Linked DNA regions of Styela clava. The protein of the gene in region 2 binds, or shares a complex with, the protein of the main gene of each other region. Links are inferred from orthologs where the notes say so. Each region holds a gene or a part of one and is shown on either strand. Other genes may lie near its edges.

Evidence for each region.
Region 1: peregrin-like (region 2) and inhibitor of growth protein 5-like share a complex: the UniProt entries of both Drosophila melanogaster proteins name them as parts of the enok complex. The link is inferred for Styela clava from reciprocal best matches to the Drosophila melanogaster genes Br140 and Ing5.
Region 3: peregrin-like (region 2) and uncharacterized protein LOC144411641 share a complex: the UniProt entries of both Drosophila melanogaster proteins name them as parts of the enok complex. The link is inferred for Styela clava from reciprocal best matches to the Drosophila melanogaster genes Br140 and Eaf6.

What each region holds. Positions count from the first base shown.
Region 1 is NC_135251.1:10,587,539-10,595,296, reverse strand, and holds inhibitor of growth protein 5-like, read right to left. Parts: upstream 2,450-7,758; 5' UTR 2,407-2,449; coding exon 1,660-2,406; 3' UTR 858-1,659; downstream 1-857. Other genes in the region: RNA-binding protein 8A-like, read right to left, coding at 321-809. UniProt on the Drosophila melanogaster protein: Component of the Enok complex which has a histone H3 acetyltransferase activity.
Region 2 is NC_135258.1:15,526,385-15,535,109, forward strand, and holds the start of peregrin-like, read right to left. Parts: upstream 3,250-8,725; 5' UTR 3,090-3,249; coding exon 2,722-3,089; intron 2,502-2,721; coding exon 2,096-2,501; intron 1,522-2,095; coding exon 1,096-1,521; intron 741-1,095; coding exon 546-740; intron 1-545. UniProt on the Drosophila melanogaster protein: Scaffold subunit of the histone acetyltransferase (HAT) Enok complex which has histone H3 acetyltransferase activity.
Region 3 is NC_135251.1:16,252,274-16,260,440, forward strand, and holds uncharacterized protein LOC144411641, read right to left. Parts: upstream 2,788-8,167; 5' UTR 2,670-2,787; intron 1,258-2,669; 5' UTR 1,250-1,257; coding exon 698-1,249; 3' UTR 660-697; downstream 1-659. UniProt on the Drosophila melanogaster protein: Component of the Enok complex which has a histone H3 acetyltransferase activity. Might be involved in transcriptional activation of selected genes.

The DNA.
Region 1 (7,758 bases), on a different chromosome or scaffold from region 2:
AAAAATTGAGACCTGATCGTCATTGCTAAGAGCATCCTAAAATCTGGGCAGAGATAGAAAAAATGAAGCAGCACATATTTAGCTCAACTATTTTCAATCCTGGAATTTAGATACTATAACAAAACGTTTTTTCCAAAATCAATTATAACAGATTAAAATATCCTAAATAATGAGCAGAGTTGGGAAAAACGCTCAGTTCAATATTAAACTTGAAAGGACAAGCATGATCATAGTGTAGCCTTTAGTTTGAGTTTATTGAGCAGATTTGTCTTATTACTACACACAGCACCATCGAGCATAGATTTATCGTTTTAATATTTTCAACGACGACGATGCCTACGGTCCCGCCTATCTTTTTGGGACGGTTTAACAAAAGCCCAATCTACTGACATCGTTTGGCCTAGTAAATCACTCCCATTCAATGCATCAAGAGCAGCCTGTGCTTCTTTAAAAGTCTCGAATTCCACGAGGGCATATCCTTTTAAATATCCGGTTCTTCTGTCAAGATTTAGATGTAAATTTTTTAATTCTCCATATTCTCCAAATTTATCGAACATGTCGTCTTCCGTTGCTTCCTCGTGCACGCCAGTAACGAATAAAATCCAGCCTTCAACCGATCGTTGAGGTCCAGGCCCATCTTGATCACTTTCCATTGCTTCATACTTGATTTCAGTTCTTTTTTCAGAATCCCCAATTCCACGACCTTTTCTGCGCTTCGCACGATCTTTCAATCTTTCAATTCCGACATCTCCTTCCTCATCTGCGGCGAATTCCTCTCCGCTTTCATGTAGATCTAGCACATCAGCCATTTCGATTGTTCCTTACACTAAATTATTATCACTTAAATTATGTTATGGCTGAGAAAATATCAAAAACAATGAGACATAAAGATATTATATATGATGAAAATCAACAAATACAATAAAAAATGTTGCAAGGGATAAATGAATTCAATTCAAGTATAAACATATATTTCGAAAACAACTTGGCAGTTTAACGGAAATGATTTTTCACCATCGTCTAGCAAGCACTAAACAAAAGAAATAGCTATTTGCATCTCACTTCTAGACATTTTAAGTTAGCTTTTTCTTTCCAGCATCTTCGGCCTTGCCTTGGGTGAAAATCAACAAATACAATAAAATAATGATGCAGAGAACTTAGATATTCAGCGAAGAACAAAGCAGCTCATTAGAATCAGTGTTCACCAGCACCCACCAAGCGCCAAAAGTGCAATTAACTGTAGCTCTTTACATCTCACGGTTTAAGACACAGTCAACTTGAATACACCTTTTTTATGAATGTGGTGGAGCAGTGGAAGTTGACAAAATAGCAAAATGTGAAATTACGAAGTGGAAACTTGCTCAAGAAAACACAGCTTCGAATCCGGAGCATTTGATTCTCAGAATATCAGGATGAATCATTTTAGTTAATTTATATTTATCATTTCTGAAAATATTGTTGCCTTGATACAAAATATTTTTGACTAGTAATCAAAATCTAAATATTAATACCCACTGGCAGTTATCAGATAATATAGAAAAATAATTACTAACAAACTGCCTATGAAAACTGGCAGTGAGTTTAGTTTTGAACATAAAAACATTTACGTTTGAATATTACCAGTGAGTAATTTTTAAAATTTCTCGGTGAAAATAAAAGCTATCGTTTCTTTTTATCTCTCTCTTCACGACATTTCGGACAAAACCATTTTCCTTTTGGTTTTGATGTTAAATTAACGCAACCAAAATGAAACCACTCGATGGGGCAATCTGGATTATCACATCCAATCATTTCACCATAAGAAACTTGGTGACAAAGACAATACGTTGGTTCATTTGGATCAACAGGCATATCTAGAACATCTGAACTCGAGTACGCAGATATTCCAGAGACGAGAGGTACAGAAGACAATGATTGATCTAGTCCGGATTTATGTTTCTTTTTGCTCGATTTTGATTCGTCCTCGGAGTTCGCGGCTCGTCCTTTCTTGCGACGCTTTTTATCTGAAGGACCGCTGTCTGTATCAGCTTTCGAAGTCCCAGCGACGTTTGAATCATGAATAGATTTCTCTTTCAAATCAGCTTCGAATCTTGCAAGATCCGAGTCTAATTTTCTGATATGTTTGTCAACCATTTCGTACGTTTGCATTGCAAGTTGAACCTTGTCATCAGCAAACTCACGACATTTAGCGTAAGAATTTTGAATTTTTTTGATACTCTCAACTCTGACATCTGGTGGTAGATTTTTTGCTTCTTCTACATAATCCATCGTTAGATTATCAATATCTACTTTTAATTCTTCTGATCTTTCATCAAGCTGACGCATAAGTTGGAAATTTCTTTGCAATTCAGCAGGTAATGTTTCCAGACTGTCAAGATACTGCTCCAGATACATTGCGGTAGCCATCTTTGATACTTTATATATTATTCTAGCTGATAATAAAATAAAATGATAAAGTTGAAAAAAAAAATTTATTGATAGTTATAAAAATACAAAACTACGCATAGAATGCAGATGCATCAGATCGTGCCATGCTCGTCTGTTGTCTCGATATTAAATTAAATCAAACGCAACGTGCCTCGTCAGTCACATGACCAAAATTGCAGTTTTTGCTAAAAACTCGACTTTTTTTTAAGAATCCAACGTTAATGTTTTTAGATTGCGCTTATATTTATTTAGTTTTGTTGCACAGTGCGTGTTTGGAGGCCTAGACTGTCTTGAAAAGAAGGAGTTTGTACTCATTGTTTAAATTGATTTTTAATGTGGAGGCTATTCTTGGAATTAAGGAACTGTGTCGTACTGGTAATTCATCTATAATTCTTCAAATACGAAACTCTGCATGAAAAAAGAGATACCATAATCGAATAATATATGATATTTATTCCGAAATGAAATATATTCTCAATCACTAAATTGAATGACGTTGAACAAATGAATTTATACTCCAGTATTCATCTCCATAAATTTGTGAAAATTGAATCTGGGACGGTGAATCAGTTGCAAAATAATTCAGTGATTGTGATACATCAGTACAGATTGAATTGATTTCCTATTTTTTACAATATTGTAATGTCAGACCATCGACTCTTGTATGCCAGTATGGGTAAATTGGGTCTCGTGTAGTTTCACGTCATAGAGCTTGTCAAATACTCGTACGATCGCCCGAAATGGCATCGGCGCCGACGATAAAGAACTGACTAACGTCAGCGATCTCTCTCCTAACAGTCGTTTGCGCGTCTTGGATGACAGTCCGCATAATTTGAAGGGCTCTATTACGTCACTGTGACGTCGTGGTGACGTAATTTTTGGATGGTGTGGTCAGGTGGCAGTACAGCACACTATCCAAATTTCAAGAATTTCCCTCCATTTGGCTCAATAAAACAAACACTCTATGTGTCTCACAAACGAGGAGCGTCTGGGACCATGTCAGATGCTTCATATCGTGCCATGCTTGTCTCAATAAAAATCTAAATTAATCGTGACCGTCAGATGACCAAAATTACCGTTTTTTGCTAAAAACTCTCGAATGCTACGGTAAAAAATTTTTTCCTTCGGAAAATCGGATTATTTTTTTCCCAGGAATTCAATGATGACGTTACTAAAGTGCGCTTTTTTGTAGTATTTCGCGCAACTTCATTATACTGTAATATTACCGATATTGAGGGACAACAATGTCCAAACGTCTCCCAAAGAAGGGGCGTCTGATCATCTGTAAAATGGGTTTCTCTGAAACGGGACACTGTCACCCGATTTGTATAGCGTGCCGTACTGGGTGGGGGTTAGGATTGACATGTGAAAAAATTGTTATGCTACGCCTGCTAGAAGTACGTTAGGTACGAAACTACACCAGACCCGGTAAATTAACATAAATATTTTAATTATGTTGAACCCAACCATTTGGTTTTTGTGTATCGCAGTATCGATTAGTTTAAACGAATTGGAAATCAAAATACTGAAATGAGTATTTTCCCAAAATAACCCACAATGTCAACCATTGCTGCATTAGTTCTTCTCGACCCCCAGACTTCATACAGTTTATATGCTGATTTCAATTTTACTTTTTTACATTCCATGCATTCGGACAGTTTTATAGAATTGATTCAAAATTTCGCCGAAAGCTTGAAAAACAGAAATAGTCTATGTACGGTACGGTACCGGGCCATACGGGTACGGTATTTGCTATGGCAGTATGGGAGTCAGCATGACAGGCAGAATAACAAAAGTTTTCTAACTAAACATTTCAAATTATTTCAGAATAACTGAATACTGAAATAACGGAACCGGAATTATAAAATGCTGGAATGCGGGTACCGGTGCCGGTACCGTACCTAACTTTAAAATTTTCTGAATTTTGTGACTGAGCTACATAAACTACAATTTTAAAAAATCAAGATACACACCACAGCGTGGAAATGTAAATTCAGTAAACAGACAAAAACCACCTGTCCATCATAATCATACGGAGTATTGAGAATAAAATAAAGAAATAAAAAATTTTCCTTCCCGCCTGCAGGCACAAATAGACGATGAGCAAATTTTAAATCATCACACACGCGGCCTACTTACGCCACCTTGCGACAAATCGTATATTGTATGATTGGTTGAAATTAGTAGTATATATTTACGTATGATTGGTTGAAATTTAAAATTTTTATGGGATTTTCACTCAACAGTTCCAATATTTTTTGGAATTAGAAAAATTTAAAATTGTACGTACATAACTGAATATTTCAAATATACACATATTCATGTCCCTGTCCGTCTGCGGTCTGATGGCTCTTGAAGACAATCTCTAGAAATATATATTACCGTAGGTATTTAATTCGACAAAATTATACGGTGCTCATCGGTAGTTCCGAGAATAAAAATCCAGATCTTTTTAATACGATATTAGAACCTCGGGTGTGGCTGCTCGATTCCCTCGCTTTGAGAGAGAGAATTTATTATTTCGTCAACCAGAAAACACATAATATAAAATATAATAATAACAAAATAAGTGAAACAAAAGTTTTCGGTATGACTGGGAGGTAACGATACGACCAGTTACGGTCATCTGAGTTAGTTACCATCCAATACAACACATGAATAAATACATAAATTGACACAGGTTCTTTTTTATTTAACTCTCAGTTTATAGAGAACTATTTACACTATTTACAAAACGAGGATAAATCTGATTAGAACGAGGATAAATTTTGGATTCATCTAATCAGGGTTGGGAATTTATTGTGAAAAATGACACATTTATAACAGTAACATAATGTGGTTTTTGTTTTAAGTTAATTTAATGGTAGAAAAAGAGGAGTGCGTTTCCGAAATAGATACTTAATTCTAAATGAGCCTATATATGAGAATCAATCAGTACATCATTTTAACACTATGAAAAAATAAAATAAAAAAATACTACTCCAATAATACATAAATAGACATATGCAAATTTAAGCAGATATGATTTATTAAAGACAAATATGAGACAGTTACAATAGTCCAGAAACCATTTCAATTCTTGCAATAATTCATAGTCTATCCCAAACGTAAACTTTGGTGGTAGTAGTATAAAAAAATGGTCAAATCTATCAAGATATCGCATATCGATGAATTTTAATCACACTCACAGTTAATTAAATAATCCATAACAACCGTTTAACAGTAATTGAAAATGTAATTATATTAAGGAGCATCATATGAATTTCAAAAGTCACTTAGCGGAGCAGTTTTGGGTTACTAGGGTGGTATAACACCAGACCTAATGTTGTGCATAGATAGGATAGCAGAAAATGAATGGAAATGTTTGCAGAATGATAAATGATAATACATGAGATATATATAAATCAGTGGATTAATTTGGTAACCCCCAAACGTAAACTTTGGTGGTAGGAGTATCAAAAATTTCCAAATTTATTAATTTATTGCAATATCGATAAATGTTAATCACACTCACAGTTGATTAAATAAACCATAAGAACCACATAAGGGTAATTGAAACAGTAATTATGTAATATCAGCCTAATGTTGTGCATAGGTGGGATATCAGCGACTTCGATTCCTCAGTGAAATTTTATGATAATCTCGCTTTTTTCTGAATGTTATATGCGATTGTTTATTGCTGGTTGGAAAAAAATAAATTTCACTTGACGCACAGACAGAACGGGAGATCATCAAGACTGTTATCATAGCGTGCTTCTTATTTGCAAAGTTTCAAAAGCCCAAAGAGCACTTTTATTAGGATAGAAGTTCATATTTATCCCGAAGAAGAAGAAAGTGGCGAGACTACTTTTTCATTATTCGCATGACAAGCATATTGCTTGGGACGATGCGCCTACCGTCGATAGCTTTGAGTACTTCATACAACTTTTCAGAATTCTTCAGTCATTTTTGCTAATTTTTTTCTGGTTAGGAATTTTCTGGGGTTAATGAGGTTCAAAAAATCATACACGCATATTTGGCCTACTTGCTTCTTATCTTCATTCCTTTCTTCCGGTAACTCAGTCCTAATACCCTGACTTCGGTCAGATGACCTAACTTTTTCGATTTGGTGACACGTTTTCCAAGTAAGCTAGTCTATTTTGCCTATATGACACGAATAAAATTATATGCGTGCCTAGGGTTGCCAACTATGAAAATTCTCAATAAAGAACATAGATTACCATCATCATTTATTTTGTAACTTACAGGAAAGAACAATATAAAACAATGAAATACAAATTATATACAAGCTAAAAAGATATATATACTAAAAAATCTCCATTTGTTTTTCATTTAATGTTTATTTAACATTGACCCTGCATTCAAGCTGCATTCTGTGAACAGTTTAGTGCTTTGAATCGTGTCAAATTTTTTTTTGAATGAGTGCAACTTCATCAAATAGGTCAAACATATTCAAATTAAGTTTGTTTTTTAGCTTCAAATGCTCTACAATTTTTACAAGGGTCTGATATTTTGGAGAAAGATTATCCAAAAGTGATAATTTTCCAAATGTTAAATTTTCATCGGAGTCAAATCTTTTTTCCAAATACGTTATCGCAGAGTTGAGAAATAATCTAAAATCTTAGATACCAATTATACGTAGAATTTTCAGTTATTGAACTAGAATTTACTCAAATCTTGGAGTGTTGCCACTTGCCATCTTCGGAAAATTAATGTAAAATATTTGAAATTGTTAATAAAATTGGTATTTCTTGGCTATTGGCTATTTGTGCCGTACCAAAGCGAAATTAAAAAGAATAATTAAAAGCTTGCAAATACAGAAACGGAGGCGATTAAAGAACGAAACAATATCAAACACAGTACTATAACTATCGGGCAAAACGACGTTGGAAAAAATAAAGGACAATTATCATCTTAAAAAGGACAAGGACAAAAATCTCAAATAAAGGATTGTCCTTTGAAATGAAGGACGGTTGGCACCCTATGCGTGCCTATGAACGATAAAAAAAAATAAAGATAAAGTAAGAAAAAAAGAAGAAAAGAAAGCAAACAAAGATTAGATTAATCCCTAAAACCATGCAATTTCTGAATGAAGTATTCAAAATAGAACAGTTATCGCTCGCACACAACTTGAATTGCCGAACATCTGATATCCGAAGTATTTCTACGGATGACGCCTAATTAGCAACAAGATGAAGATGATAGTATTTTCACAAAACAAAATTAGCACTTTTTTCAGTCAGACTTCGAGAGTTTAAACTTGCTCATCTTTTTGTTGAAGACTACCTGTCACTCTGCTCTGATAAATTAATAGATTCGCTAGCTTCAAAT
Region 2 (8,725 bases):
ATGGCCATAAAATCAGTGAAATTTTCAAGACCCTGTTTTCACAGACTATAGTAATTAACAATATAACAATAACAGGGCTGTGATTTCTGAGAAATGTCCCGCTTGACTTGTCCAGTAAGAATTGACTATAATTCTCGTTCTGCCTCCAGCTCACAAATCATGGATTCGAAAAATCAACCCCCGTTCCAGTTTCTTACTATATAAAAACACTTGAGCTTGTAGGCATTGTGCTGCATCAGCTGGGAACTTTCAATCAAACTACCTATTCCCATGAAAATAAACTATTGATTAAAATACCAAACTCTGGCTTGACTCCATAGCGCCGAGGACTATATTGGAGTGTCTGCTCATAAGTGGTGGTGTGGAAGATACCTTGGAAAATCGTTTGAAAATTAGATTATTGTTATGCCAGAGTAGCTGGTTACTAACCATCCACTTTCTATACTATTATATGCGTAATGATTGAAAAGAAAAATTAAAAAAATCACAAAGTCCAGGTGATTAAAAACGAAGTTTTCCTAGCACACGAAAGCCTTGAAAAGTACCTGCTGAGCACATGTGACATGAAACGCAGTGTAACAATTTGTTCTGTGACATTGTATGCAAGCTCCAGAATTTCTCTGTTTACAAATATAACAAGAAAGTTTCCATCTTGCAGCTGGAATTCTTTTCAATCCGTCGATAGGTTCCAAGAACACAGTGTTGGCAAATGTCACCTCAGGAACCCAAAGTGCACAGACCTGAGATCAAATATAAGGTCCAAAAATAATCGAAATAGGCAATAAGAGGATTTTAAAGGTTACTTTACTTATGAATGTATATTATATTCATGTGCAAACACTGCATCGAGTATCAATCATATATTAGGACAGTATTCCATAAATTGGCTTTAAAAGAAATACATATCAATAAAATTTGGCAATACAAAAATCTGTTTCGAGCAGTTTGTTATTGTTAATTAACATTATATATGCACATAATCATCAGTGCAGTAAAACTTATGATTGTGCCAAATTCAAACATTTATCTGAATAACAAAAGTTTGAATTATGTTGAATTCTTGATTATTCTAACACCAATATTCTAACTACTAACCACATGTGCCCATCTACCATCATCGGTCTGTTTGAATGCTCCACCTCTGTTTGGGCACAAGCAGCAATCAACTGGGCAAGACGGAGATTGCAAGCATCTCCTACATAACCATTGTCCTTCAGGAATGTAAGGGACCCCATAGCACTCCTGGTGGACTGCAAGATTGCACATGTCGCAAAATAAGATGACATTTGAGTTTTGACATTCGCCGTCATTACACACACAACATACGGCGTCCTCGTCAATCATTTGTTGTGCACGATGATGATCCCCATTTTTTGCTTGTTCAAAATAGGATTCTTTTTCAAATCTGTCCATCAAAAGTTCAAATTGATCAGCGGAAACGATTTGCAATGACTCTTTTTTTCGGTTTTCATTCAAAAGTTCGAGCCAAACAGAGTCTTCTTCATCCATATCATATTCAACCTAGAATGAACAAAAATTGAAAGAAATTAGAGAATAGTCCAAATTAAAATGCGTCAGGGAGATTATTAAAGTAAACCATACTATCATAATATAGATGGGCTTCAAACAATATTATCATGACTGAATTCAACCATATTACGACACGGGAGCAAGGAATAAATATTCGTGTTATAATGAAATACGGGTCAACCAAACAAACTGCACCACATCCAGTGATTCTCAAAAATAGTTAAATTTCGAATGGTCACAAATACTTTATACCAGTGGTGTGTAACACTTTTCGTCAGTGGGCCATATAACTAACTTCAGAGATCTAGTCGGGTCACACTGTTACAGACAAAAAATTTAGCGGGGAAAGGCAAGAGAAGAGGAGCGCCTAATGCTTACATATTTTATCTGTGAGCACATTTTGAAACATTAATTGTCGGAATAGATTTTATGCTGGTTGGGGAAAATCATGAGTGTTGACAAGGGCTGGGTTGTGGGCAGTGGGCCGCCTATTGCACACTCGTGCTCAAATCTATCCTTTCTTTTCTTCAATAATAAAGGTGATATTACAATAAACATGAATTACCTCCTCTGCCAATTCTTCAACTGGTCTTTCAATATATCGATAATAAGCCATACGACGTTCTGGAGCATCAGCTGCTTCAGTTCCATACGCAGAGACGACGCGAAACGATGGTACAGGAAGCTTTGGTTCAACTGGCTTTGATTCTGCTGAATTTCCATCTCGTTGAATAGGAAGAGTCACACTTTTCAAGTCTTTGCTGTTGACCGCGGGTTTCCCTCCCGTTTTGCTTTTTCCATTCTTCCCTGCCGGTCCACTGTTTCCTCCATCCTCTTTAGTTATGTTTTTCTTTGAGTCTTCTTGATTTTGAGTATCTGAACTTCCGTCTGATGAATTTCCGCTGTTACTGTCATCATCTTTATCAACATCAGAATCCGAGATGACGTCTAGTTTTTCATTTATGTCCAATCTAGCGAAAAGCAATAGAAAAAATATACATGATATAAAATCTTTTCTAGACATCTTAGTTTTTAATCAAGACTCAAGGTAGGTAAATCATCAGTCTAATACATAAAAATGTTTTCAATTTGTGGAATCTTACTCCATTGAAGTTGAAACAAAATATATAGATTACATTTTTCATTTTGTTTTAAAGTGAATTCAGCACAGCAAAAGCTTAAGTTATATACCTATAAATTTTTCCTTCTGATTCAACTTCAACCATTCTTTGAGCTTCGGCCCAAGTCAGAGTCTCTCGGGCTGGTGATGCAAAACCAATAGGAGATGGAGAGCGTCTAGGTGTATTAGCACTCATTCGTCCTCCTTTCTTTTTCATGGCAAACTTTGAGCGAGGTCCTTTTCGATTTGAATTTGACGGTGTGGGTTTCTGGCTTGGGGTCATTGGAGCTGCATCATGATCAAATTTAAGCATATGATATTCCATTCCAGAGTAACTTTTATAAATCTTCTGACATTTCGGACACTCCCATGGTGGCTTGGTAGCACGTAATGATCGAAGAAATGTGTCAATGTCAATGCTTGAATCCATTACTCCCATTAAATTGATTTCAAGCAAAAAAAGCAGTTTTCAATAAATGACTTCTAATAACAATTTGTTTTAAAATATGTTCATTTTTTCTTTGCCTTTGAATGTTGATGTTATATGTAATTTATTTTTAACTTACATTAAATCAATATAAAACTTCAGAATAATAAAGCAATGTTTTAATCCAAATTAAATAAACACAAAATCCTGAAAAAAAATTAAGTTACTATATTTTTTAAACACAACATCCAGATTTTTCTACTCTACTACTATTACTTCTTTACTGAGCTAGACCATGGTAATTCTACTGTTCTATGCTAGTACCTAAGACAACTGACTATTTTTTATACCTACCTGACTAGATACAGTACAACAATACGACTGTATGATTAGCAAATATTGACACCTATCTGCCTATTACAAATCCTAGGCTATTTAAGTGCTGTATTCAGGTATTTCGAACACAGGAATCCACAACTGATTGTTGCGGTATAGGTATCCTATTATCAGATTTTACACATCCACTAACTGACTAACCAATCTGACAATGTTTTACTAACGTCAGACCTGCAGAACGTTAAAATCACAAGTTCGAATCGCAGAATCGGGCATTACAAGTACCTCATTGCCAGTATAGATCAAACTAAAACTTTTAACATATTTAAGCTATGTTTGAATATATATGTATATATACAATAATACCGACATCACGTTTGAATTTAAATCCAATGCGCCAAAATCCCGCCGAACACGGAAGCCTGAGGTAAGGCCGGCCTATAAATCTGGAAGCGGGCGAAAAATTTTCGGCGAGCCTCGCTATCGCTCCTAGTGTTGTAACTATTCTCTGTACTCATATTTCAAAAAAGGTCACACTGTGGTTAGGACCCCAAAAAAAAAAATTAATACCGATATAAGAAGATTTTATCCCATTTTTCTAATTTCGACCTAAGAAATAATTTCAATGAAATCCATGATTTTTGAGAAGAAAATTTCGGTCTGCTGTGATGATTTGCTGCGTCTAAATAAATTTCTTTCAAATGTAAAATTATTAAAATACGATATTGTGGTTGTTCACGATACAAACAGTCGCGTCTAGAGGATATCCGATAAATTAGTAAAGTGTTAATCATTATATAAAACTTACTTCTAAAATCTTTTATGTTAATTTTGTCAATTTGACTCCCTTACTTTTCATTTTTTTATTTGTTTCGCAAAAATTGTTTCACTAGGAATGACATTATTATTTATTTCCAATAACCAGGTTGTTCTTCTGAGAATATGTTCACTATCACAACTACTGCATAGTCAAAATTTGTACTCCTTAGACTTTAGAGTTTACACCAACCTGTACTAGCGATGTAGGTGTCGCTGCTTGAAGACATCTCGAGGACCCTCTCGACTCCGGTCACACAAATAAGAGTATCAGTATATTTATTTGATGCATGAATTTCTGCGCAGTTATTTACCGGTAGTCGTTGGTGATGACAAATAAACGATTGGCTGACTGGCTTTTCAGTATATTATCGTCGCGGTATGGGATCGATGGACAATTCTCCATCACACTTCATCGTATCTTGCGTCAAGATCTGCTGTGCCTATCACGATAAATTGTACCCCAACATTTATCTCGTATATTTTCGCGATTGATTTTAAAAAAGTATATTATTGTTGCTAAAACGATACCAGCTTTCAAACAATTATTTGTCTACCCCAGACAAAGGTATAAGTTCAGATATACTAGAACAAAATAGTTTTAAGGGATAAGCAAACTATGAAAAAGACCAGATAAATTTCAAGGTGTCGACATCACCGATAATATGTAACAATAATTAACGCATGTTCTTGAGTTTCAGCTTGAAACACAAATAAAAAATATTTAGACGCATAAATGGAGTGTCACTTGACTCATTACTGAAGGCATATCAAAATAGCTTACTTTAATTAATTGCATCGTAAATTGCCTTGTAAATCTGCACGTATGCAAATATGGACTCGACACTTCTTTTACATATTAATATAGGTGTCTGCAGACGTTTCGTTTTGCACGGGCGCTGGGAATAGCGGTGTTTTAAACTCATACCAAGTTGTCTACCGTAATGGTATATTCGATAAATGTTTACCACTTTTATTAAACCAATACCCATAGTGGCGTACGCAGAATTTTGTGACAATTTTATGTCAAATTTTATTTTCACACAACGAGGAAATTCACTGTGATATTTGATTGATATTTTTCTTCTTTATTGTCAAATATTTAAATAACACAATTTTAGTAGCGAAAATAGATAAATTAATTGGGAAGGTAGTTTGGATGAGGAATAGCTCAAAACGAGTAAGAATTGAGGGCGTTCTTAATAAATTCCGTGTACATATGTGTACAGTGTGTGAAAACTTCAGTATACATAAGGTCACATTTCTTAATATATATATTTCATAAAATTCTGTTGTTAGTGATTATATTTATATTTAGTATATAATAATTGGAATCTAAAAACAAGTTCAAATGATGATAAAACATCATAGTATCAGATATTGTGACGTTATAATACCCGTTTCCAGTGCAGCAGGTTGGCCGCGAACATGGTCCTTCCACAAAAAAAAAATTGTTTCAGATATCAACATTCGGATGCCAACTCATTTTAAAAACATTCTGGATCTCATTGAACAGCAGAATCGGAAGCATATTATTAGCCGATACCGAACATATACCAATACCGAAATAAATGCCGATATCAGTACATTTCTATATTTATCCCGGGGAGATGAAAGCCGATTAGACGGCTCAAACATCTTGCGGAACACGGTCACTTGTCCGGTTACCGGTCCATGTAGGGTATGAGATTAGTTAATAACAAGTTATTTGTTTCAGATACATGGACTTGATGGTTGAGAAAGTCGTAACTGACCAGCGGTTATTTGAACCAGCCTGCGGCGGCGCCTCGCCTCGCATATACCGTGTTCCCCCGAAAATAAGACAGTGTCTTATTTTAACTTTCTTCCGAAAAATAACACTTGGGCTTATTTTGGGGAATGTCTTTTATTATCATTTATCAAAAACAAAATTACAAAGTGGAGAATTACGAGATTTTTCGAATATACAAAATATGACAACAACCGATATCCATTTACTTATTAATAACACGTTTTTATTAAAATTTTCATTTATTTATTTATTGAAACGTATAGGAGAGATTCCTTGCCATCGACTATGCCAGGAAAACAAATTCGCACTATCGACTAGGTCTTATCTTTAAAACTCGGGCTAGGTCTTATTTTCGAGGAAACACGGTAATTCTCATCCCGCGCGGGATTCGAACCAGCTAACCCACGCAGGTGCGGTAGCGAGCGTATTCCTAACGCTCAGCGCGAAACACCGCCGAGCAATTAAAACAGAACATTTACTTTACCTAACAAAAGGCAAAGAAGAAGCTGAATGGCGACGTTGGCTGAGATGACGTATTATGAAAAAAAATGAGAGGGTAGAAAATGGCGAATGTAGTGCAATTTTTGTAATTCGGATCCACCTTAGACGAATACTGTAAAGGTAATTAGACGGTATATTATACTGATGCTTCTTCTTTGCCATTTCGCTTTTTATGCCAATTAATCCAAGACCGTGATTCAATTTTGTATGCGGGTTTTTTTTAAATAAATTTTAAATGGAAACGTACATAAGCATTCTTTTTGTTTTCACAATTACAAGACCAGTCTGTCGATGTATTACACTGATATTTCGAAGTAAAATACGTGGTTAGTGCGTCTTAGTATAATTCTTGTTCAAGCACTTTTCCATTTCAGATGTCTTCAGTTATATTTTTTTATCATATAGAATAAAAATGTGTGCTACTTCTATTTTCTTCAAAAATGCCTTCTGTCAATCTAATATAGACACCATCAAACTCCCGATTATGCATAGGTGTGAACAAAATTTCAGAGCCAAAATTTGTTCCCAAAACTTCAATTGTACTGATTAAATTTGTTGTTAATCAAGTTTCTCGACAATCACTAAGCTTATATTTAATTTTTTCTATTTTTATTACGCCCGTGATGTTTGCTGGCATACCTTCCACAGAGATAAACGTAGTTATACCTCATCAGAGCATGAATGTCACATCGCATTGTTATGCATTGTCTCTGGTTAGAGACGCCTGCTAGCTAGTGCACTGTCCATGCTCATTTTGTCATTTTAGTTCAGTGCTCACGACCTCGATTTGATATACTTACATATTATAATAATAAAAAACAAGAGAGCTATGCTCAAATATATGGAAACGCCACAAGTTGTCGCTATTTTTTATTGCAACACATATTGCACACAAGAAAAGAAAGCTCTTGAGGTTCACAGAAATTTTTAAAATAAGTGAAAGTGATAGTCTTCTGGCAAAGCAATCTTTAACCACTGAAAATTTCAAAGCAATTTGTCCTGTATTCGAAGAGCAATTTTATTATGACAACGGAGAAGAAAAACAAAAACAATAACATAATGTTGAAACGATCATTATGTCCACCAAGTGTCCAATAAGGAAGCAATACTCAAATACATGAACACGAAAGCCGAAACAAAATATTTTACTCACAATTTCCCCAAAAATCATATCTTGGACGAAGCTGAAACTGTGGACCATCGTAAATCACCAGTATCGTTACCCGGACTGCCCTAGCTTCAACAGATCCTGTAACAATGATGATTTATGCGTCTTGTGCAACGTGAAAAAAATGGAAATTGGAATATACGATGCTAATTGTAAAATAATTTCAATCAAAAACAATTTCGAAGAGTTATTAAAACTTCAAGTCGGTGCTAATTGAAATCCACTGATTTTGGCTGTAATTTATTGCCGCGCCGCCCAGGCCTGCTGTCTTCGAATATGATAAAAAATAAAATAATCGTTTTTATCAAAACGTGGACATTAACGCTAGGACGTGTGCGCGATATTCGGTATTCTTATAAACACAAAAAACGAAGGTCGCGATATTTGCTTATGAATTCGAATTGGATATCCAGGAGTCATAGGCCCCTGCCACTTCGGCACCTGCAAGTCAGTCATTCCCCATAAAAGTAAAATTCAGCATCACTTATATCGAGTATAAAACAAAACAAAAAAACAGTCGCTTCCCGGGAAATCATAGTGACACTACCTGCCAAATCTCATAAAAAATCTTCAGCTTATTTTTAGAAACAGCTTTTACATCCATCTGTAGTGCTTTCAATCACATTACTCGGTCTTCGGTGACCTCATCCACGTTACTCCTATCGGGATATTTCGTCAATTCGTCCTCCTAAGGTTCAACTTTTTAGTGACTTCGACACCCTCCTTATTCGTCGGAAAAAATTTCATCCACTTCTTCCTTTTAGTGTTCAGCTATTTAGTGACTTCAACAACCTCATTAAATGTAGGGAGAAATTTCATCCACTTCTTTCTTTTAATGTTCAGCTTTTAGTGACTTCAGACACTCAATAAATGTCAAAAAAATTTTATCCACTTCTTCCTTTTAGTGTTCAGATTTTAAGTAACTTCAACCAGCTCATTAAATGTCGGAAGAAATTTCATCCACTTCTTCCTTTTAGTGTTCAGCTTTTTAGTGTTTTCAACAACCTCATTATTCGTCGGAAGAAATTTCATCCAATTCTTCCTTTTAGTGTACGG
Region 3 (8,167 bases), on a different chromosome or scaffold from region 2:
TGTTAGTCACTATATAAATCAAAAACATCGAATATCGATAATGAAACACAGGCACAATTGATAATATGAAAAGGACAAAATTTATAAAAATATGCAGCATCAACCGGATTCTTCAATTCAGATTGATTTCTTACCAACAATTGTACAGTTTGTTATATTGTTAATAGTAAATCCACGTCTCACAGTCACACACACCAAAGGTATGTTGATAAGGTTATTGTAGTACTACCGGTACATCTGAGTGGCTTTTACAGAGTTTCAGAAATACCAGGGATGGCCATATTCTAAAATTAACAATTAAAAAAAATATGGCAAATATACATTTGCAGACTGAAATTTTAATAAGAGCAAAAAGCAATGAATGTGTTTTCTACTTCTATCAGGATAAATTCAATGTAAAATCTGGTATAGTTAAATAGATGGATGCAAAGTCTTTCTGGACTCATCGATAGAGTTCATGCATCCATACATTGGCTGAGTAGGTTTTCCTCCAACATCCAAGGAAAGATTGATTGGTTGACCCCTGACTGACATGGTGACTGGACAAGATAGAGAGAGTTCCTCCCATATGATTAATCACGAAAAATCCTAAATTTTAAATAGTTTTGGCTGGTCGTATTTTCAAACTTTTCACAGTCAACAATAAATTCAGGAAATTAAGTCAAATTTATGAACCACAGCAGGCAGCAAAATAATATCAGCTCTCCCCAGAGCGTGATTTTTTACCATATTTGTCGACCTTGTTCTGCCGAATCTTACGCTTTTTATCTTTGCTTGCAGATGCAGAGTCTTGGGTACTGACAGAACTATATCCATCTTCCGAGTTATTTTTATTTTTAACACTCGATGTGGAAATTTTGCCATTTGAATCTGAACGTTTTAACAGTTTGTTTCCTCCATTTTCTCTAGATTGTTTTTCTTTGCTTGAACTAGAGTCTCCATCTTTTCGAGAATCCACTCCACTTACAGCCGCCGCAGATGTGATTGAAGATTTACTAAAAAGTCTTTCAGCTTCTTTAAATTTTCTGTTTCTACGATCTGATTTGCTATTAGTGTTTTTATTATTTGTCAAATATCTGTCCCATCCTCTAATGATGTTTCCATAGAGTTGAGTATCTTCCAAATAGCTTCCTTCAAAAGCGTAAATTTGGCGCTCAAGATTTGCTAAAGTTTCAGTTATTTCTTCTTTTCGCTTTACTAACTCTGATAGTTCTGCTCTGGTGTTGGATCCTTGGTTTTTATTAGACATATTGAAAACTGAAACAGAAGACATATGACTGTATGACATATTAACTACCATATGAAAATCTTGTTCTTTGGTTTGCAGGTTTAACCCAAGCTAAAATGAAAATCATTCAGAAATGAAATATCAAATAATTAAAAGTGCAAATGATTAGCCTGCTCCAAATTTTCAGATTTTTGAATCAATTATTGAATTAGAAAGACTAAGCACCTAGATTTAGGTTATATTGAAGCAAAAGCTATAATGGCCAAAGAAAATTGGGTGTTATATTGGTATGGGATTTCAACATATATTATACAGCAAATATTGTTATTTGCTCATGCTTATTGTATTATGTACTTGTATCGGAAATAAATCATTATCTATCTATCAACATTTATGTGATCTCAGTGCAGCAGTGATTCTAGTTAGGGTTAAGAGCTGAAATATATGAGAATGTCTGAATGAAGCACCACTTTGGTATACAATTGAGATCACACTGAACAAGTGAGGTCGCATACCAAAGTGGCAACCCATTATGCATTATGATTTTTTATAACTTTGTCATATATGTGCCTATGTTTGCCCATTTTGATATCATTCGTATTTAAACTATTACTTCGCCAAAAATAAATTACACTTTTATAATACCTAAATACTCATGGACTAAATATATGCGATACACTATTATTCAATGATAGACCTAAAAAAAAACAGAATTATTGCCCTATATTCTGATACCGTATTATATTTCAAGTAATGAATAAAATTGGTAGGTTGGGTTGAGTCGAGTCAAACTGAAAATACATAGACTATCATAAGCTTCTACGATTGAGGTTTTCCCCTACCCTTGACCCAGTGGCCCCAAAAATATTCTCCCTAATTTTTTGACGCTGAATTGGATTTTTTTTGAAGAGTTTGCACTTATAAATAAACTTGTTATACTGTTAGACTGGCCTATATGTTCAAAAGCATTATTTTTGTTAAAAACAATTAACCACGTGCCGCTCACAGATACCGGTATCTAATTTTAGCCTAGCCCTGTCAGCCTGTACGTACCGGTGCCGGTACGGTAGACCATCGCAGCTTTTTCGAGACTAATTTTTGATTATTGCAACTAAACTAAAGCTCTGTGGAAAGCATAACGACTTTTATACGGTACTATTTGATTTACAACTAATTTTTGGAAACACAACTGAAAACTAATACGCAAAATCACAAAAAAAGAGGCGCAGTTCTTACCACTTCATGGCAGCTCCTGCCACGAACGAACCGCGGCAGCTCTTGCCATGGTTTTATAGCGCTATTCAGTAATCAGTATTAACGGTATATTCACAAATTAATGTACCAGATTTTAATTGATCATGTGGAATTATATCTACTTAAACCCTAACCCTAACCCCAAATCAATCAAAACTGTATCCATAAGAAAAACGTTCCAACTTACCCAATATTTGTCACCATAATAGACAGCCCAGTCTTTACGGCCCACCTGCCGCGGTGACGGCAGCTCGACATTGGTTTGTGGCAGCTAAAAAGTCAGTTGCCATGAGTTTGGCCGTAGCGGCCATGGTATGAAAATACCGCCATGGTTTTGCGGCAGCTGCAGATGCCACAGAATACTTGAAACTGCACTTGAAAAAAGAGGCATCGTTTTCACCCACGCTGGAATATCTGTCTGGGCGGCCGCAAAAATTCAATTGATACCATTCTGTTGTAAGGAGTCTTGCATAATTACGGTGAGTGCAAGGTGACTATAACACTTATAGACACTTTGGGTAAGTGCAAGGTGCCCCGCCGCCACAGGATGGCTCGTTTTGCCGAAGATGAAAGCAGATATCTAACAACATAACATATTGAAGAATATCTCCACAAACTTGCTTCGCTGTCTAAGTTTTTTCATTCATCCCGGTTGGTTCATTTGAATGAAGGATTATAGATAGTGAGCCTAAGAAAAATGGTGTTGACAAAGAGACATACAAATTTATGCGCCACTTTAGATGCTGTAAAATAGCTTCTCAAAAAAAAAATGGGGGCCACCGCCCTCCCTGGCCACACCTATGTCTCTCTTTTCCAGAAGAAATTTGAAAATCCTATCCTGCGAGATAAAAAAAATGGAGTCGGCAGAACTACATGCGAAAGATTATACAACAAATTGAGAGGAGTTAAACATATTGATTCCATAGTTTTGGATCTCACAGTGCAACTCTCTACAAAACGTTCATAACTACCCTGAAGAGATGCAAATAAATAGGGTCTTTTTAGGCCGCGAGCCGAGGCAATTTATCTTTCAGTTTCGTAGCGCACATAAGGTAACTACCTGAAAATTATTTTAAAATGTTCCTTAGAAATTTAGTAACAAATATTGCCTTGTTCCCACTTCCAAAAGTTGCACGTTTTACAAAAAAGACGCTTTTACTACAATAAATATGTGTTACCATCTGTCATATTTTCTCTGCTTTCCCGGTATCATGGGCCAATAAACGCAGACTTCTACATGACGTAACAATCAAATTAGTCAGCTGTAGGTGGTTGCACGTTTTACAAAAAAGACGCTTTTACTACAATAAATATGTGTTACCATCTGTCCTATTTTCTCTGCTTTTCCGGTATCATGGGCCAATAAACGCAGACTTCTACATGACGTAACAATCAAATTAGTCAGCTGTAGGTGGATCCCCAGTGGTCGGATGAATATCAGATGTACTACTACTGCTCGCTTTTGCGTTCAGTAACCTTTCCATAGTTTTTTTCAGTTATTATTAGTTTAGTTATTCTAAAGAGGTGTTGAAAACTATAAGTACGGCAAGATATTAAACACTTGTATATCCTTACCATAAATAGCAATTTTAGTTGAGCACTAGCTCATAACACGTTGATAAATTGGTACGGTGCGGTAACTCCAAGAAAGGCTAGACCTAGAATAATAGGTCACAAACAACGATATTTTCTGGCTTACGTGAAATGTTTATGATTAATTTAATGACTCTTCTTGACTATTCAGCAGACTTATACTACTACTATATAGGCCACAGCATATTTGGAAATAGAAATTAATGGCTGTTTCTGTAATGCACAGTTGTGTGAAAGAGAAGAAAATAATCAATTTTACTAATGTCGGTTGGTTTAAATCTAAATTCATAGAGTCGACAAGAACCTGGGAAGCAATGATAAGTTATGCCGGGAAGGAAAGAAAGAAAGTAGCATTGGAAACGATTTAGAGGTGAGAAACCAAGTTGTAGACAGACAGTTGATGTTTTAAAATATAGTCTATAGTCCATACTCATACTGTCATAGGGCATTTCAGACTGTGATATATCATAATTTAGTGGAGATATAGTCTAGTAATGGTATGCAAACACTGCTGGACTGTAGTACATGCAATGAGCATATATACGCTCATTGAGTACATCAGATAAAATGCATTATGTATTCAAGGTATTAGTTAGTATTTAGTGGTATTTTTACACTCATGCTGTTCCAAATATGATTTTCTTCCTCATTTTAGATACTGTACTATAAAAGAAAACGGCAATGTTTCACCAATCCGACCTAACGCAGGCTCTAATCCCTGCTGCTATCAGTGCTATAAAATGGATTAAACAAGAAGTCTTGAAGAGTATAGATATATGAGAATCATAATAGTTGCAAACAGCTTAGATGGGCTATTCATATTGAAATACTTTAGCACTTTTCTGCAATTGAAACTGCCCATCAAACTCATGTTGGAGACTTCATTGAGGTTTTCAATTAATTTTTTCTCAACTATGAAGATCTTTTGAGGTTAATGAGGCATTAATAAATAAAGCTGAGGAATTTGTTTGTTCACTGTAGACCAGGGGTTCCCAAACTTTATTGGACGCGGGCCAAATTTAGAATCGGGAGAATGTTCGCGGGCCGGAAGAGTTTAGCGCCCGAAAGTTCGCGGCGGTTTAGCTGGGGTTCAGTGGATTCACTTCCATTTGACATTTTTTGCAATCTGTTTGTTTGACTCACAATGGCGCTTTATGTCGTATTCCTTCAGAACTGGAATATTTCATTGGCAAGAAAGACAAATCGCTGAAGTTTGATTCTTTGCAATACGAAAATATGAAAGCTACCATTTATCCCGGAAACGTCTATTTGTAAAGTCTAGTTTTGTTTGTTTCTTTGACATCTGTAAGCTTTCTTATATGGCTGATAACTTAATTACTGCTCTTTGTAATCCTACCGTGTTTCCCTGAAAATGAGACCAATCCCGTAAATAAGACCTAGCCTGAATTTTAAGAATGATTATAATATAAGCCTCACCGTAAAATAAGACGTATAGTCAGTAGCACCTAGTCGATAGCAGGAAATCTCCCATACACGTTGTAAATGATTAATTTAACAAGTGTGAAAGAGGAATACGTGCCATTTAAGTAAATGGATATTGGTTTTCATATTTTTTATATTTGAAAATCTTTGTAATTTTTTTTTGACTCATGAAAATAAAAGACACGCCCCGAAAATAAGCCCTAGGTATATTTTTCGAAAGAAAATTGAAATAATCTGTTCTATTTTTGGGGAAACATGGTAATACCGGTACGTATTATTGAGATATCGGCATATTTGAATTGTTACGCGATAAACACATGCTTAAACTGTGGTAATGACATAACAACATCGTTTTACTCAAGTTCGGCGGGCCATTTTAAATTGTTACGCGGGCCGGATTTGGGAACCCCTGCTGTAGACTATGGGGATATGAAGAATGTAAATGATACCAGGGGCCAGGGCATGTCTATTTAACACTGACAAACATAAGGATTCACTGAAGAAGCATGTGGCCCTCAAATCAGTTCTTGAGTTGGCAAACTGCAAGTGTAAGAAAAATAGTCAAAATAATTTATGCAAGTGTGCCAAAATCAACTTAAATTGCACAGATTTTTGTTTTTGTACTGCAAAAATCACAGTACACTTATATAGGAAAAGTCGATTTTCGAGAGTGGATTTCGAAAACAATTCAGAGGAAAGTGAATTAGATATTGCAGTTGATTTATTAAGTAGGGCCTATCATTTTTTTTTCGGACATTTGTTAGTGTCGTAGTTCTGTTTCTAGAAATAATATTGCCTTTGTTCAAATACATAACCACATAAACTGAAAAAAGACTAATTGTTATATTTCTGTTCACTATGTTATGTACATATTGTACATTCATTTAATTTTCTTGACTTTTCCGTTAAATTTCTAAGTGAGAAATAACTGATTTATTTGTGTTTTCGTGCTCACGATGTTAATTTGTGACTTCATTGCTCAAAAATGATTACGTTTGATAGCTTCTATAAAAAGGATGTAGCTTTTTATGCTGTTCTTGTTGTAAACTGCTTGTGGTTATTACATAAAATTTATTCGCTAATGTGAATCAGCGTTGTTGGTGTCGCTGCTTTCGAGGTCACTCGCGACTCCTGTCACACAATTAAAGTATTTTTCGTAATCTACCTATTAAATTATGATTGACTGAGGAAGTCCGATTTTGATAGGAAAAACATTACTGGAATACATTTGTGTTAGTGTGCTGTAGGGCTCTCGAATTGCATAGTTTTTATGTATGTGTTGTAAACTTATGGTTATTGAATTTCCGGGAACCTCTTATATTCAATTTTGCATCAGGATTGTGGAACAAGCTGTAATGAGTTCAGTATGTTCATTTTCACACAAAATTGACGAATTTATTTAGTTACCAGATGTGCGCTACGAAACTCATTTTCTGGGCGTTTTCAAGGCTTCGTCTCACGGCCCATATCGGTGGTAAAGATCTGCAAGTGTTTAATAACTTACTTATACATTTTTTAAACAACGTCTCAGGATAACTCAACTAATAACAAGAGAGCTACGCACAAATATATGGACACGTCAGACCAGAGCGAATCAGTCCTTACCGGTACCTTTGACGCTACCGGTACCCTCAAAAAAGTTCTGAATTTCCAGTAGCAAGAATTTTGCAGAATCAAAACGTACAGCCAGTCATGACACTGACTAAAATCCGTGTTCCCATGGATAAAAAATGATACAGCAAAATTTTAGACGAAATATCAAATTTCATAGAATTCACGCAAAATTTTGAAATAAATAAAAGTAATAGCCTTCTAGCGAAAAAATTAATCTTTAACCACTGAAAATTTCAAAGCAATTGGTCCAGTATTCGAAGAAAAAAGCGACTTTTTAAAAACGTGTCAAAGAACAAGAACAACAACATAATATTGAAACGATCGTTATGTCCACTACGTGTCCAATAACTAAACAGGGCTATGGAAAGGCTGCCCAACTCAACGCAAGGTCGAGCAGTAATAACTAATATTCATCCGCTCGCTAACAGCTGATTCGATTCAATTGTGACGTCATGCAGAAGTCATTGCCGAAAATGTAGAGAATATAGGACAGATCGTAGCACATATTTCTTGCAGTAAAAGCGTCTTTTCCATAAAACGTGCAACTTTTGGAAGTGGCAAAGCAATATTTGTTACTAAATTTTTAAGGAACATTTTAAAATCATTTTCAGGTAATTACCTGATGTGCGCTACGAAACTCACTTTCTAGGCGTTTTTCAGGGCCTCGGCTCGCGGCCTATTTGTAGTATTTGACAATTGTATTCAGCATTTGAAATATAAAAATTTATAATTGAAAAAAAATCATAAATGTGCGAAGTGTCAGTTGACAACTGTTGAAGATTTCTCTCAAGAAAATTATTTTCTGAGCGATCTTTTTATTGGATACTAACATAACAAAGACGGTGTTTTTAAGTTTTATTCAAAAGAAAAGGTAACACTTGAAAAACATGACTATCATTAGGTAAGTTAATGTGCAAGTAATAATAGAATGAATTATCTATCAACCTATAGTTAGTATTGGCAGCTGGCAGGGCAATTTATTTAAACACCACAATGTTAAATGGCAAAAATTTGTTAATAAGTGCATTTAAAGGG